2 linked regions of the Elephas maximus indicus genome follow. The protein of the gene in region 2 purifies or fractionates together with the protein of the main gene of each other region. This does not show direct contact. Links are inferred from orthologs where the notes say so. Each region holds a gene or a part of one and is shown on either strand. Other genes may lie near its edges.

Region 1 (8,056 bases), on a different chromosome or scaffold from region 2:
GGTAATAGGGAACTGAGGGTTGAGAAGGGAGAGTGTTGACTTGTTGTGGGGTTGTCAACCAGTGTCATACAACAGTGTGTGTACTATTTGATCAGAAACTACTTTGTTCTGTAAACCTTCATCTAAAGTTCAATTAAAAAAAAGAGTAAAAAGATATATATATTTCTTTCTGTGTGTAAACCTTTTCTTGACTGTTTACAATAGTGGTCTCATATAATATTTGTCCATTTGTGATTGACTTATTTCACTCAGCATGATGTCCTCTAGATTCGGTCACATTGTGAGATGTTTTGCAGGTTTGTCATTATTCTTTACTGTTGTGTAGTATTCCATCGTGTGTACCAGTTTGTTTACTCATTCATCCGTTGGTGGGCATTTAGGTTGTTTCCATCTTTTTGCTATTGTGAACACTGTTGCAAGGAACAAGGTTCTTTTCCATTATCAACCTAGACTAGATCTAAAATGGGCACTAGGAAGCATGCCTTCCTTGGGGGAGTTGCACAGCCTTCAAAGCCTGCCTTCTGCTTATAGAAGGTTGATTGCCAGAGGTCATTTTAAGCTAAAACATTCACAGACTTTTATAGTTTTGTGTATTTGTTTTCTTTAACCATCTAATTCCCTCAAACATTTGGTAAGCGTAGAAAGAAAAATACTTGGTAAGCATCTAATCTGTTTGCTTCTAGCCAGTTCCATATGCTAGTATTTGTTCTTTCTACACATCATTATCATCAAGTTCTCTGATTTCTTTGCTGCTTTACCCTTACAGGTATCTCTGTTAACTTAGTGGCAGCTATGTGGAGGCCATCTGAAACAGACTGCTTCAAAGGCTACATTCCCTTTAATCTGCTCTTTTCCATAGGGCTGAGTCCCTCTGTTTACTGATTTTTTTTTTTTTTTTCTGTTACTCAGGATATTTTTAGTGTTAACTCTTACTGTTTAGGGATTCAGAAGCAGTCAGATTTTTCAGTACTGCAAGGTCTTGAATTTTTGGATTCTCTCCATTTTTATTTCTGCTCTTAAATCAGCCACTTCTTGATTGAGGTCATCTTTCCTAAAGTGCATTGCCAAGGCAGCCAGTAGTAGCCAAACACATACCATAACTTTTTTTAAGCTACTTCTAGAGCAGTCTGCTTCCGTTATTATAGGAGACATTTTGCCAAATACTTTGCCGCTAACTCTTTGTTTCCATTTTTTAGCTCTCAGTGCCATTGCCCTTGCTGCTAGACTGCTAAGCTAGTGCAGTGTAGTTTGATTTTTATTATGGCATCATTTGTACCACATCAAGGTACTAACTTCTGCATTAGGGTAATGCTAGGTGTAGTAGCAACATGTCCCCAAAATGTGTAATGGCTTAAACATAATAAAAGTTTATTTCTTCATTAGGCAACAGTCCTGAACATTTCCAGGTCAGGGAATGGGGAATTGGGGGAGAAATAATTCATTCAGGGATCCAGGCTGACAGAATCAGCTATCTTAAACACAGGGCTTCCAAAGTCTCCAGACTCCAATACACTTCTACTCACATTCCATTGGGTTGAACTCATTCACACTGCTACGCTTAACCTCAATAGGAAGATTAAAACTGCAGAAAAAGAGAAAAATATGGATTTTGGTGAGCAACCTAAAATCTCTTCCATAACCCTCTTTAAAAAAAAAAAACCTTGATGGCTTTTCACTTCCTTTGGGATAAATGTGTTCACATTCCATTTAAGGCTCTCTAGTTTGTTCAGAAAGGAGCCCAGGTAGCGCAGTGGTTAAGCACTTAGCTGCTAACCAAAAGGCTCGTGGTTTGAACCCACCAGCCGCTCCACAGGAGAAAGATGTGGCCGTCTGCTTACGTAAAGATTACAGCCTTGGGAACCGTATGGGGCAGTTCTGCTCTATGCTGTAGGGTCAGTATGAGTCGGAACTGACTCTATGGCAATGGTTTTTTTTTTTTTTAAACTTATTCAAGCCTTTCATTCTACCGTTATCTCTTCCTTTATGTAAATACTTTATTCCAGTAAAAATGGTCCCTTAACTGTTCCCTTCAAACATGCTACATTCCACCATCTTTTTGACACATCCTGTTTTATTTTTATTGTGCTTTAAGTGAAAGTTTACAAACCAAGTCAGTCTCTCATACATACAAAAACTTATATACACCTTGCTATATATTCCTAGTTGCTCACTCTCTGATGAGAGAGCACACCCCTTCCCTTCACTCAGTTTTCGTGTCCATTTGGCCAACTTATGACTCCCTCTATCCTCTCATCTTTTTTTCCAAACAGGAGCTGCCCACATAGTCTCATGTATCTACTTGATCCAAGAAGCTCACTCTTCACCAGTATCATTTTCTATCCCATAGTCCAGTCCAATCCCTGGCTGAGGAGTTGGCTTTGGGAATGGTTCCTGCCTTGGGCTAACAGGTCTGCGGACCATGACCTCTGTAGTCTCAGTCAGACCATTAAGTCTGGTCTTTTTATAAGAATTTGGGGTTTGCATCCCACTGCTCTCCTGCTCCCTCAGGGGTTCTCTGTTCTGTTCCCTGTCAAGGCAGTCATCAGTTGTAGCCGGGCGCCATCTAGTTCTTCTGGTCTTAGGCTGATGTAAATGATTAAAAATCAAAATTCACAATTCTAGAGTTTTTATTGAGTTCTTGAATTTTTATTGAGTTCTCTTTAATTTCAGATGGAATGACTAAGTGTGGTAGAAATTCAAGTATATAGAAAAAATCCCTGTTTCCTTTTGGAAAACTCTTCTCATCCTTCGAAATGCAAATCTCTATCAGTGTGGAGTAAAATGGCCCAGGTTGCTAAAAGCACTTGGTACATCTATGGGTCAAGTGTTTTGTTTCCCTCTCTTTTTTGCCTCTCTCAGCATTATCAAATTTATATGACTAGCTTAGTTTCAACACTTTGTGATTTGTCTTATCTTTTGTACAACTAGAGCATGCTGATATAAAATATTTAGAATCAATTTCATGGTCAGAAGATATACAAGTATAAAAAAAAATAAAAAGTATATTAATAGTTATTATTTGTTGATTGTTCACAATATGCGAAGTACTGAATCAATGCTTTATGAGATAGGGATTGTTATCCCCATTATACAGATGATGACTGAAGCTCAGAGAAGCTAAATAATTTGCCTAAAATTTTACAGCTTGTCCATGAAACGGCCATGATTCTCACCACATGGTTCTGTATCCAAAGCCCACGCCCTTTCTTCCACACACACTGTATCCAGGTTTGAAGACACCTGGACCAGCTGCCCAGCCAATGTCTACATTGTATCTCTAATATCTAAGCCAAGCATTAAACTGGCAATTGCTTAATATCAATTATTGAGAATACATTGATTACGTCCTTATATTGAACCGAAGATGTTTTCCTGCACCTTGTTTTTAGGGATTCTCTTATTTCTTGGGGCTGTTCAAAGTAAGGATTATCTGTTTTTCACTTGGTGAAAACTTTCATGCCCCCTCTGGTTGTTTCTGAATGAAGCTTCCCCTTTAATTTGTACCTTAAGATTTTGAGTACTTGTTCATCTTTAAACAGCTTACACTTTTAAGTCCCTCTTAAGTGTGAATGTCAGAGCTGAACTAGATTTTCCATGTGAGGAATGACCAACACATAGAACAAAGTGGAACTATCACCCCCACAAGATTTTTCTACTAACACATCTTTGTTTTCCTAGGGTGATACAATTCTGGAGACTGGAGAAGTAATTCCACCAATGAAAGACTTTCCTGATCAACATCATTGAAGATTACTTAAACATTTCAAAGATTTATGAGCCCAAGTCCTATAATACCATATTTACTGAGTAATATTTTCTGGAAAAGTAACTTTAATAAAGTAAACTTACAAGTTTACTCCCAGAAATGTGTTGTCATATCTCTACCAAAACATTGTACAGTTTGAGACCCTTTAAATCATTTAAAAATTGTAAAAATTGAACATGCAAAACAAATGATATGAGTGACTGCTCCAGTTGTTCTGGTCATTCCTGAATTGGAAAACAGGATGTAGAAAAGTATTTAGTCACATGATAGAATTTTTCTTATACAGTAACTCTAGTTTGGTCTGAGGGAATGCACCAGAATTAGATACTGCAGTATAACAAATACAAGAAAAAAATCCCGCCCACTTCTGTTTTAAAGAAATCTTTCTGAGCTATTTTAAAGGAAGTATTTTAGAAACTCTAGATTGAAATGCATGGGTTCCATCAATGATCTGATACTCAAAGGCTGTCAGATCTAGGTTACTGATCTGAGTTTTATCATATGAGACTGTAAGACTAAAATCTCTCCAAGCTTTTGAAAAATTAGTGTCTATTAGTGGTTATTATAAAAGGCGATCCAAAAATAAAGTTCAAAATTTTACATTATGGATTTTATTTTTTAATCTAAACAGGTATCAGATAAGGATGAGGTAAAGAATTGTATTTGCAGAGAATTAAATCCAAAGGAATTACAAATTTTCATTCATCTCGAAGATTCTGTCTGGGTATTCCTTCGTTAGCTGTCGTCGTGCAGCTACTGTTGATGCATAAATGACATATCCCCAGGAGAGTAATACGATCGCAACGAGCAACTAAAAAAAAATGTCAGAGGGAGAAAAAGCAAAAAAAAAAAAAATTACTCCTTTGAAGTTACCGTGTACCACTGCAGAAATGGGAATTATAGTGATAAAATAATAAATGGGATTCCGGAGACAAGTACACCCAGCGGCCCTTACGTAAGAAGCGGAAGATCGTGTCCTCCAGGAAGAGGCGGAGTCGAGGTGGAGGGGGGGAGTGCTTAATTCAGTAATGGATTTTGGAGTTTGCGGATGTTGAAGAAATAGAGAACCTCCCGCCTGTGGGCCCAAGGAGTCGACACCGTGGAGCCCCGCCAGACCCGGGACCTACCATTGAATAAATCCAGTCCAGGGTGCGGCGATTCACTGGCTTCATGGTAAGGAGGCGGCGGCGGTCCGCGGGAACCGGCGGAAGATGTGGGCCTAGACTAACCTGCGGGGCGGTGGCTACTGGGCGGCAGCGGCCATCTTTCAGCCGGGTACGAACGCCCTCCCACTAGCCCCCGGGAGCTTTTCCCATTGGCCAGGCCTGCCTCTTCCGCCCTGAGCCGGAGGCGGAGTCAGGTGAAGGGGGCCTAGCCCGCCTGGCAGGGAAGGGATGGAATAAATGAGAAAATAGATTAAAAAATTGCCGCTTAAAGAGGTGTTTTTCGCCAGCCGGTTTTCTTTCCAGTTGGGATGCAGTGCTAATGTAGGATAATGTACTGTCGTGTGCACTTAAACGTTTATTTGAAAAATATCTGCCTTTTAAATATTGCACCGGTATCTAACGCTGGAAGAAAACGTTTTTCCCGCATCTGTTTTTACATAATATAAACGTTTGTATATTCAGCTGCGACGCATACGAGAATACTGTGTACTATTTTATGTAACAGTCATCAGTTAGGCGGGAATCACTGTTAATTGGGCCCTTTAAGAAACGTATAGTCTCTGAGAACGCAATAGGTTTTTAATGTAAATGATACTCGTAAGAAGAAATACGTGGCAAGAACTATCCGGCATAATGCACCAGTGAATCAACAAGTGTTGAGCGTTACGGCCGGTTGTGCTAAGTTTACCTGTAAAATGGGACGCTCACGTTGAGGCCTGAGTGGTGTAGTCTGGCCATGGGCCGTTCTAGGCTGACGTTCTTTATTCATAAATCTCGGATATTAACTTAGACTTTAATCCAAATTTTGGGGAGAGGGTAGGGGGAAAGAAGTTCTTTGAGAGAAAAACCTATCTGTTTTGGAGAGAATTCAGAGCCTATTCTGTGTTAGGCCTTGACTGTTTCTCCTCAAGCTGGAGTAGATCTCTCTCGAGACTATATAAGATACTGATTGGAGTCTGGCTTTGGATCCCATTCGAATCCCGATGTTATTTCCTAGCTGTGCAACCGATGGTCAAGTCACTTTCGGGTAACACTGTGTACCTATATACAATGGAGATAGTTTTTGTAACTTCTCCCAAGTTTCTTGATATTTAAATGAGACCAAGCTAAGGTTTTGTCTAGTTATTTTGTTTTCCGATAATTTAGGAGCGAACATTAAGTTAGTACCCTGTAATCCCTACGATTAATAATAGGAATGATCATGATAGTGATTTCTGCCCGGGATGGTCAGATTGCTCTCACTCCCGGAACGGAGTGGTGGGGGAAGGGCCCAGTCTCGGGCCGGAGCGCATTAAGTGCCGCCCTCAGTGCTGGCGGCTTTCTAACGCGCATGCGTTAAAAAGGCTGGTATAGTGTTTTGACGCGCTGGAGGGGTGGGGTCTCGCTTTCTGACACCGCCTCCAAGCTGCCATTGGTGATGAGCGCTTTACGTCACAGGGGTCGCAGCAGCCGCCAGGGTCTCCGCTGTCTCGCGAGGAGGGTGAAGCGCCCCCGCCCGCTCCGGCTCCTGAGAGTAGGCGGAGAAGTCGCCGGGTACGCCTTCGCGGGTCCTGCCGTCACCGACCCAGCTTTCTGAGCCGTAGGGAGCTAGCCACGAGCGCCCCGGCCGGGTCTGCGCAGGCATCCTCTGGGGTGAGTGGGATCGGAAACAATGGGGCACGGGGGTCGGAAGGGCTGGGCGAACCGGAGGTCCCTCCGGGAGCGAGGCCCAAGGACTTGGGGCCGTGGTCTTGGCCTGCGGGGCCGCCCGGGCCTCAACCGGGCAGGGGTCCGGGCGGGCGGGCGGACTGGCGACTCTGCGGCGCACCTGTGGATTTGCGCCGGTGGGAGGGTGAAGGCTGCGTTTCGAAGGCTCCCAAGGGGCGAGGGGCGCGAGCCTAGCTGTGTACTGGAAAGAGCCTGGTCTCTAGAAAAATAACCGCTGGAGTCTGAATCTTGGCATCGCCACTGACGGGTGTGACCTTGGCCAGGTCCCTTAACCTCTCCGAGCCTGTCTGTAAAATGGGAATAACTATTTTAGTTCGTTGTGATTATGTCCAGAATCCCTGGTAGCGCAGTGGTTAAGCGCTCGGCTGCCAACCGAGAGGTCGGCGATCCCACCGGCTACTCCGCGGGAGAAAGATGTGGCTGGCAGTCTGCTTCCGTAAAGGTTTACTTCTTGAAAACCCTCTGGGGCAGGGTCGCTATGAGTCAGCAGTGGGGTGTGGGATTATGTAATGCATGCGCTGCTTACCTTAGATCCTGGCCCATCGCAGCTCTCACCTAAAGGAAGCGGCTATCACCTTGAATATTGGAGCTGTCTGTTCAGTGGTGTGTATTCTGGGCTGAGCTCGCCTGCCTGTGACTTCTTCAGTCAGTGCAGCTTTCCTTATGGGCAGGAAGGGGACAGTACTGAGATGAGGCAGATAGTGATTTAAAAGTTAAGAGAAAAAATGAATAGAGTTCATAGTAGGTAATTTTCAAGATTATATAAAGTAAGAAACAGCTTCCCAAGAGTTGAGCTAGTATGTGATGAGATTTTTTTTTTTCTCTTTAAACCACTGTAAAGGCTTTACAGTCAGCTAGAACAATCATGCTTATCTGGAATGAATGGCTTTAGAGGGAAAACGGTTCCCAACCAATTCTTTTTATTGCTAGAATTGGCATTAAATGTGGTAGAATCTGGTCAGCAAACCCTGTAACTTCCGTATGATCTTTTGGAATCTGTGATTAAACTGCAGTTCAGAGACTCCTTGAGGTGACAAGAGGTAGGGCCCACATTATTTTTTATACATGGAGGTGCCTTTCTATTTTATCTACTTGTGAACCCTTTTTAGCTACTTTGCCTAGATATATTAAGTACAATAATTATATTATGTATGAAGATTATTTAGCTGTCAACAGCCTATCATCTTGATCCAGTCATTGAAATCAGCTCAGTTATTTTCACATAACATGGGGGAGAGTGTTGAATTCTTCCTGTGCACCAAGCACTGTGCTAAGTGTTCAAATAGAATATATCTCTTAACACAACAACCTTTTTAGATGGGTATTGTTATTCACCCCATTTTAGCATTGAGAAAATTTAAGGTTTTGAGAGATGAATTTTCCCCAGGTCACACAACTAATAAGTCATGGTGATTCT
Region 2 (8,198 bases):
AGCTTCTGCAGTCTGAAGTTGACTGAATATGCAATCATCTGCATATCAAAGGTTGTTTAATTACCAGTGACTGGAATGTGAAAGTTGAAAGCAAAGAACAAGGATCGGTAGTTGGAAAATATGGCCTTGGTGACAGAAATGATGCTGGAGATTACATGACAGAATTTCACAAGATCAACAACTTCTTCACTGCAAATACCTTTTTTTAACCAACATAAACCGTGACCTGGCCAGATGGAATACATAGGAATCAAATTGACTACATCTGTGGAAAGAGACAATGGAAAAACGCAGTATTGTCAGTCAGAACAAGGGCAGGGGCCGACTGCGGAAGAGATCATCAATTGCTCACATGCAAGTTCACGTTGAAACTGAGGAAAACCAGAACGAGTCCAGGAGAACCAAAGTATGACCTTGAGAATAACCTACCTGAATTTAAAAACTATCTCAAGAATATATTTGACATGTTGAATACTAATGACCAAAGACCAGATGAGTTGTGGAATGACATCAGGGACATCATCCACGAAGAAAGCAAGAGGTCATTAAAAAGACAGGAAAGAAAGAAAGACCAAAATGCATGTCAGAAGAGACTCTGAAATTTGCTCTTGAATGTCGAGCAGCTAAAGCAAAAGGAAGAAAAGATGAAGTAAAAGAACCTGAACAAGAGATTCCAAAGGGCAGCCCGAGAAGACAAAGTATTATAATGACATGTGCAAAGAGCAGGAGATAGAAAACCAAAAGAGAAGAACATGCTCAGATTTCTCAAGCTGAAAGAACTGAAGAAAAAATTCAAGCCTCAAGTTGCAATAGTGAAGGATTCTATGGGGAAAATATTGAATGATGCAGGAAGCATCAAAAGAAGATGAAAGGAATACACAGAGTCATTATACCAAAAAGAATTGGTCGATGTCCAACCATTTCAAAAGGTAGTATATGATCAGGAACCAATGGTACTGATGGAAGAAGTCCAAGCTGCACTGAAGGCACTGGCAAAAAATAAGGCTCCAGGAATTGATGGAATATCAATTGAGATGTTTCAACAAATGGATGCGGCACTGGAAGCACTCACTCATCTATACTAAGAAATTTGGAAGACAGCTACCTGGCCAACTGACTGGAAGAGATCCATATCTATGTCTATTCCCAAGAAGGTGATCGATCCGAATGCAGAAATTATCCAACATCACTAATATTACATGCAAGCAAAATTTTGCTGAAGATCATTCAAAAGTGGCTGCAGCAGTATATTGACAGGGAACTGCCAGCAATTCCGGCAAGATTCAGAAGAGGACGTGGAACCAGGGATATCATTCCTGATGTCAGATGGATCCTGGCTGAAGGCAGAGAATACCAGAAGGATGTTTACCTGTGTTTTATTGACTATGCAAAAGCATTTGACTGTGTGGATCATAATGAATTATAGATAACATTGCAAAGAATGGGAATTCCAGGGCACTTAATTGTGCTCATGAGGATCCTGTACCTAGATCAAGAGGCAGTTGTTTGGATAGAACAAGGGGATACTTTGTGGTAAAGTCAGGAAAGGTGTGCGTTAGGATTGTATCCTTTCACCACACCTATTCAATCTGAATGTTAAGCATATAATCCGAGAAGCTGGACTATATGAAGAATGGGGCAACACAACAGGAGGAAGACTTATTAACAACCTTTGATATGCAGATGACACAACCTTTCTTGCTGAAAGTGAAGAGGACTTGAAGCACTTCTTGAAGATGATCAAAGATCACAGCCTTCAGTATGGATTACACCTCAACATAAAGAAAACAAACATCCTCACAACTGGACCAATAAGCAACATCATGATAAATGGAGAAAAGAATGAAGTTGTCAAGGATTTCATTTCACTCGGATCCACAATCCACAGCCATGGAAGCAGCAGTGAAGAAATCAAGAGACACGTTGCATTGGGCACGTCTGCTGCAAAAGACATCTTTAAAGTGTTGAAAAGCAAAGATGTTACCTTGAAGACTAAGTTGTGCCTGACTCAAGCCATGGTATTTTCAATCGCATCACATGCATGCGAAAGCTGGATGATGAATAAGGAAAACTGAAGAAGAATTGATGCCTTTGAATTGTGGTGCTGGAAAAGAATACTGAATATATCATGGACTGCCAGAAGAAGGAACAAATCTGTCTTGTAAGAAGCACAACGAGAATGCTCCTTAGAAGCAGGGATGGTGAGACTGTGTCTTATACACTTTGGACATGTAGTCAGGAGGCATCAGTCCCTGGAAAAGGACATTATGCTTGGTAAAGTACAAGGTCAGCCGAAAACATGGATTGACACAGTGGCTGTAACAATGGGCTCAAGCAGAACAACCATTGTGAGCATAGTGCAGGACCAGGCAGTGTTTCGTTCTGTGGTACATAGGGTCACTATGAGTTGGAATCGACTCGATGGCACCTAACAACAAGTTTCCCGTTTTAAATCTTTTAGTTTTGTTTTATCCTTCATTATTGTATCCCTTCACTTAAGGTTCAGGGTTCCAGGATTGACCGTCTCAATCCGTTTTGCTTTTTCAGGTCTTTATTGCAGCTGGATGGCTTAGTGTATCTGACTGGTCCGCCATCTTGGTTCTGCCTTCTTCATCTTTACTCTTGAGGAATCATTTACTGTGAACAGAATTCTAGTTCCATCCTTATTTTTTTCTCAGCAGTTTAAGTATAATATCCCATTATTTTTTGCTCTTCTCTTCAGAATTTTGTATCAAACTAATTGCTATTCTTTTGTAAGATATTTTCTATCATCTATTGCCAGTTGCCCTGGGGTTATTATCAGCCTTGGATCACTTTCTACTAATTTTTCAACTTGGGTAGTTCCTGGCCCCTGCAGGAATTAAAATTTGAATTCCAAACCATCTCAGGACAGGCCTGTGGTTAGGAATTCTTAGAGTTGATACTTTTAGCTACAGCTCACCTGCAGGAATCCAGAGGCAGAGAGACAAGCTTATTGTACCTTCCCAGTGCTGAGGGTGTATTTTTTCTTGTCTGAACTTTTATGTTATTATTGAGCAAGTAGTTCTTCAAAGGTTTCAGCTTTAAGGGGAGGGGGAGTTTCAGTTTAACTAGCCCACTTCGTGAAGGCACAAGGCCTCAAGTCTTGCTGCCGAGTGACCTTTAAACCCATTCAATCAGACATACAACCTCCCCCTCTTTCTGCTCTCTAGCCCCAACATTATCTCAAACTTATTGCACAATGATTTTGTTCCCTCTTCATTTTTGGCCACTGGAGATTTCCTGTATTTTTCTGAGATCTAAGCTACCCACTTAAACAAATGCTTGTTATGATTTGGGTGGCATTTCTAGGTGTTTTGCTCTCAGGTCTGTGTGGCCTGTCAGAATGCCCCACATCCTTTCTTTGCTCAAGAGTATTCTTGATTAGGAATCTACCTTCTTTTATACCAATCCTGTCTTTCTGAAACTACAATCCTATAATTAACCTTGATTTGACATGGTTCTTTCTCAGTTCTCCCCAAGCATACATTTACATACTGTTTCTTAGAATTCTCCAGATGACTCATTCTATCTTTTATTGAGCCATTTTCTTGTGAAGATGCAAGATATTTGGATGGGGGAGGGGAAAGGCTAGAACCTAAACTGAGGCTCTTTAACCTTATTCTCTAGGTGGGATGTCATTACATCCGAGTGCACCTCACTCATATAATTCTATTTAAAAACATTTAGAAGTATACAAGTAACATACAAATATTCTTTTTTGTTTAAAAATAAAAGATACAAAATAAACTCAAAGTCCCTTTTCAACACTGTCCCTCTCGCTCCCCTTTCTAGAGGTAACTATTATCAGTGTTTTCAGGACATCTTTGCAGTGCCATTTCTATACATTTTCTTTTCTCTCAGCTGTATATACACCTATACATTTTCTTTTTACAGAAACGATACCCCCTTATTTTACAGATGAGGAAACTAAGTGGGACCCTGAGGGGAAAAATGTGTAGACAAATTTATTGAAGGAAAGCCAACGGAAAAATCATTTATTAATACCCTACTATGAACTGGTCTCTACTTCTTTGGAACAAAATACAATGAAGGAAACCAAGGACTCAAAGAAGCAACTAGCCCACATGAACCATGGTCTCATCTAGCCTGAGACCAGAACTACATGGTGCTTGGCTACCACAACCATTATTACCAGGGACACAATAGAAGATCCCAGGTGGGTTGGCAGAAAAATGTGGAACAAAACTCAAATTTCTAAAAAAAAAACACCAGACTTGCTGGACCAAGAAAGACTAGAGAAACCTCTGAGACTATCTCCCTAAGATATGCTTTGAACTTGGAACTGAAGCTACTTCCACATAAAAGATAGGCTTATAAAATAAACAATATCACCTGTGAGTACTGTGATCCCTTAAATAATCAACTACCTGAGATCAAACGGTCAACATTTACCCTAAAGCAAGGATGAGAAGATAAGGAGGGGCAGGGAAGCTAGATTTAGTGGAAACAGAACAAACAGAATGGAAATGACGAGAATAGTGACACATTGTGTAACCAATGTCAGGAAACAATCTGTATAAAAATTGTTAAATGGGAACCTACTTTGCTGTAAACTTTCACCTAAAACACAATAAAATATTATTTTTTAAAAACCCCTACTACGTGTCAAATCCTGCACCATGCTATCTTGGCATGAAAGGTTCTGGTATTTTGCTGGATAGGGTCGCTGCACTAGGTTAGGGAAAGCAATTAGTTTAGACGTTGGAGAACCTGTACGAGTGGCTTCAGTGTTGATGATATAGGATTTGGATTTTGGTGGGAGCTTCAGCAAACCTAGCAGAGGGGTTGTGGAGCTGCAAAAAAGAAAAAAAACAACAACAAAAAACCCTGTCACCGGTAGTTGGGTCTGTCACTAAAGCTTGTCAAGTTGAATCGCGAGGAACCTGCTACCTGGCGAGTCCGAATCTTCCTCTGGAAAGCAGGAGCTCATACCGTGTCTACCAGGCTGGCCTTGGAGTTTGGAGAGGGAGGCACCAGAGGCTGCAAGAAGGATGCGGCGAGCAGACAGCAACCGAGCAGCCAATCCGGAGAGCAGAGAGAGCGCTCCCGGACCGGTCGGGAAGTGCGCCTGCGCTCACCGCTCAGCGGGCCGGGAGGGGCGGAGCATGGGGATGGTCAATGAGCCTGCGCAAACGGCGCTGCGAGGTGGGGGAGGGCGGTCCGTGTGTGTCTGTGTTGTTGTTCGGCGGCAGCGGCGGCGGCGGTAAGATGGCTGCCCACGGGGGCTCCGCCGCGTCCTCGGCGCTGAAGGGGTTAATTCAGCAGTTCACCGCCATCACCGGTAAGAGACGCGGTTACCGGAAGGTGCAGAGCGGGGTCCGGGGCGGGCGGCGGGTCTGCCCCGGGCTTTCTTCTGCCTTCATGCATTCCTCCCTCGGGCTTTACTCAAAGCTCCCGTCCTCCCTCCTGAGGAAGAGGCGACGACGGCGTCGGGGTCTCCGGGTTCAGGCGGGAGGCGGCCCCCCCGCTGCCCACATTCTCGCTCGTGGTCTCCTCGCAGTGTGGAGGGGGACCCTTCACCCCTGCCAGCCCGGTCCCGGCGAGTGGGCCGAGCCCATCCGTCCCCGCCGGCCCGGGGGCCTGGGGGCGGAAGGAGTGGGGGGCCGCACCCGGGCCACCGCCCTCCTCCTCCTCCATCATCTTCCTCTCTTCTCTGGCCAGCTCGGGGGCGGAGTGCGTCCCCTCAGCTCCTCTTTCCCGGCTCCCCGGCCGGGTCATTCTCCCCCGTCCCTGGCCTGCCCTTCCCCTGGCTGGGCCCCTCGGAGCCATCGCTGTGGCCCTGGCTGGTTCGGGCCCTCCCGCCTTCACGGCGAGGCTAGTGGCTTCGGCAGCGCCTTCACGGATCCGGGGAGATCGGCCGCCAGGAAGGGGGCGGCTGAGAAGCACCTTAGGAACTGGGGTTTTAAGAGTAAAATGAGGGGATCCCCTCCACAAGCTTAATTGTGAAGGCCTGGAGGAATCCTGGCTGGCGTTTCCCACCTCCCTATAATAAAACCCCAAAGACCGAGGCGATGGCGCCGGGGCCTCCCGCTGCTCACATAGGGATGGCGGCAGAAACTTCGCCGAGAGGAAATCTCTCTCTGGCTGTCGGTATCCCTCAGACCCTAGGCCTGGGTTTTTCTTTTTTTGGACCCCTGCGAAGGGCACACGCAGATCCTCTCACCGCCTGGGGGAAAGGCCCTAAGCCATTCTCTGTATTCCCTGGGTCTTGGTTTCTCTCTGATGGTGCTGAACTTTTTTTGCATGAGTTATTAGAGGGCGGAGCAAATGATGAAGTTCTCTGTGGAGTGATTTGAGAGGAGAGTACTCCATGTGCCGGGGTGTAATTTTGCAGCTCTAGTTTGTCATTTTGGAAAGAGGTCAGAATGTTAGTTCTCTCGCCTAGCAGATCCTCTCTCTGATGCTTTGTTAAATGCGGACGATCCTTTCACTGTTAATGTTTCTCAGAGTTTGTCGTGCAAGATCTGGCTAAGGAAAATTTTACATTGTTTTACCCAATACAGGTTGTATGCTAGTTATCGTTGGATAATTAAAGCTCCTTTTATTTTTTTTTTTAACTCTGCAACGGTAACTAGATGTTTGATGCATTGTTATCTAGCTCCTGCGCATGCAGCAGTGGGTCAAAGTTGGTAAAGTAAAATTTGTAATAAAATCGGAGTGGGGAATGGAGTGATAATTTTCATATTCATAATTTAAAATATACTAAAGGTGTAATGCCATTACCTCCCGAAGCCACTTTTGTGGGGAAAATTATGTGTATAAGTTAACATGTACTGCATTATGTTTATATAGGAAAATCTTTGTAGTGAATCGGTTATAGAGTATCATTAATAATCCTTTTTTTAGGTTTATTAGAGGTAGTTTAATATGACACTTATTTAATTTCAGTTTTTTCTGCAGAGAAACTGAAATTAAATAAATGGACTCAGGAACACTTATTGCTTTAACTTCACATTATCTCTTGTAATGAACATTTTTGTTAGATATAGACAAAATCTGAAGTGTGATGAGGTGAACTGACTCACTGAACTGCCTTTATTCTGTCTCTGTTTGCTAGTCTATACTGCCTGTTTCCTGGTCACAGGCGTTTCTATTTCTGAATCAGGTTGGATTCTCTCAGTAGACAATGGTATCTAGAATTCTGCAAAAGCAGAAATACCTTAGATTGTTCCTAATCTATTGTGAATTGTTATTAATAATTTTTTTAGATTCTTTCAACGAGGTTATGATTACCATTAGAAACACCTGATTGATCCCTCCACCCCTTTTCATGTATCTAAAAAATAAATTTGGGGGTTATCTTCACATATATTGTAAACAGTAGTGTTTATGATAAGAAGGTAGTTGTTTTTTATGCATTGCTGGGTGAATTAGGCTGACCTTAAAAAAAATTTTTTTTTTTTAAGAGCTTATGCTCTGATTTTGAAAAGGTTTACTTACCTAGAAGCTCAACATTCTGATACAAGCAACTAATTCAATGGCATTTAGAAATAGAAAATTGAAAGATTTCTTAGTAAATCTTATTTCTTACTAAATAAAACAAATTTCTCTATAGTACGTGTGTATGAAGGAATGAATCTGATTTTTAAAATTTTTTAATTATTAAAAAGATGACAAACATGAAATAGTTTGGAAAAAGGGAAAAAAACTAATTTTCCACTCTTACATCAATATTATTTATTTTATTATGGTCTCTTCCAATTCTCGTTTACATACTTATTTTTTGCATTATAGATTGTACTGTACATAATTTAGAATTCTAAATTTTTCACTTAACGTTACACCGTACGCATTTTTCTATGATTGCGCTCTCTGACAAGCAGGTAGCCAAGGAAGTGATGTTCTTTGAAGTAATCATGTTAAGACGCTGTGTACCACCACCACTGATGCCTTCAGAGCTGTTTAAAGCTACATAAAATAAGTTCTTTTTAGTCATACCCCATTTTACAATATTACTTGGTTTGATAGCCCTTGATATTCATCACACATGACTTTGAATGACTGTTGGCTACTTTTAGAAGTCTTATCAGTTCTCAAAACATGAAAGAATATGCTGCTGAATCTGAAAGGAATTTCAAAAGAACAATTTAAAAAAATATTTTGAATCATGATAGTATCCCATTAACACTAACTTGGGCTGACATCCAGCCACACGT

Evidence for each region. Proteins that work in one complex are often made in the same cells at the same time.
Region 1: the proteins of UBXN7 (region 2) and TOPORS purify together in Homo sapiens (affinity purification with mass spectrometry; 4 studies listed by BioGRID and IntAct, with this or other methods). This does not show direct contact. The link is inferred for Elephas maximus indicus from reciprocal best matches to the Homo sapiens genes UBXN7 and TOPORS.

What each region holds. Positions count from the first base shown.
Region 1 is NC_064827.1:41,737,118-41,745,173, reverse strand, and holds the start of TOPORS (E3 ubiquitin-protein ligase Topors), read left to right. Parts: upstream 1-4,848; 5' UTR 4,849-4,893; coding exon of another isoform or gene 4,894-4,936; coding exon 4,937-4,939; exon of another isoform or gene 4,940-5,077; intron 5,078-6,369; coding exon 6,370-6,564; intron 6,565-8,056. Other genes in the region: NDUFB6 (NADH dehydrogenase [ubiquinone] 1 beta subcomplex subunit 6), read left to right, coding at 3,679-3,747; SMIM27 (small integral membrane protein 27), read right to left, coding at 4,455-4,577, 4,894-4,938. UniProt on the Homo sapiens protein: Functions as an E3 ubiquitin-protein ligase and as an E3 SUMO1-protein ligase. Probable tumor suppressor involved in cell growth, cell proliferation and apoptosis that regulates p53/TP53 stability through ubiquitin-dependent degradation.
Region 2 is NC_064819.1:17,997,051-18,005,248, reverse strand, and holds the start of UBXN7 (UBX domain-containing protein 7), read left to right. Parts: upstream 1-5,180; 5' UTR 5,181-5,250; coding exon 5,251-5,323; intron 5,324-8,198. UniProt on the Homo sapiens protein: Ubiquitin-binding adapter that links a subset of NEDD8-associated cullin ring ligases (CRLs) to the segregase VCP/p97, to regulate turnover of their ubiquitination substrates.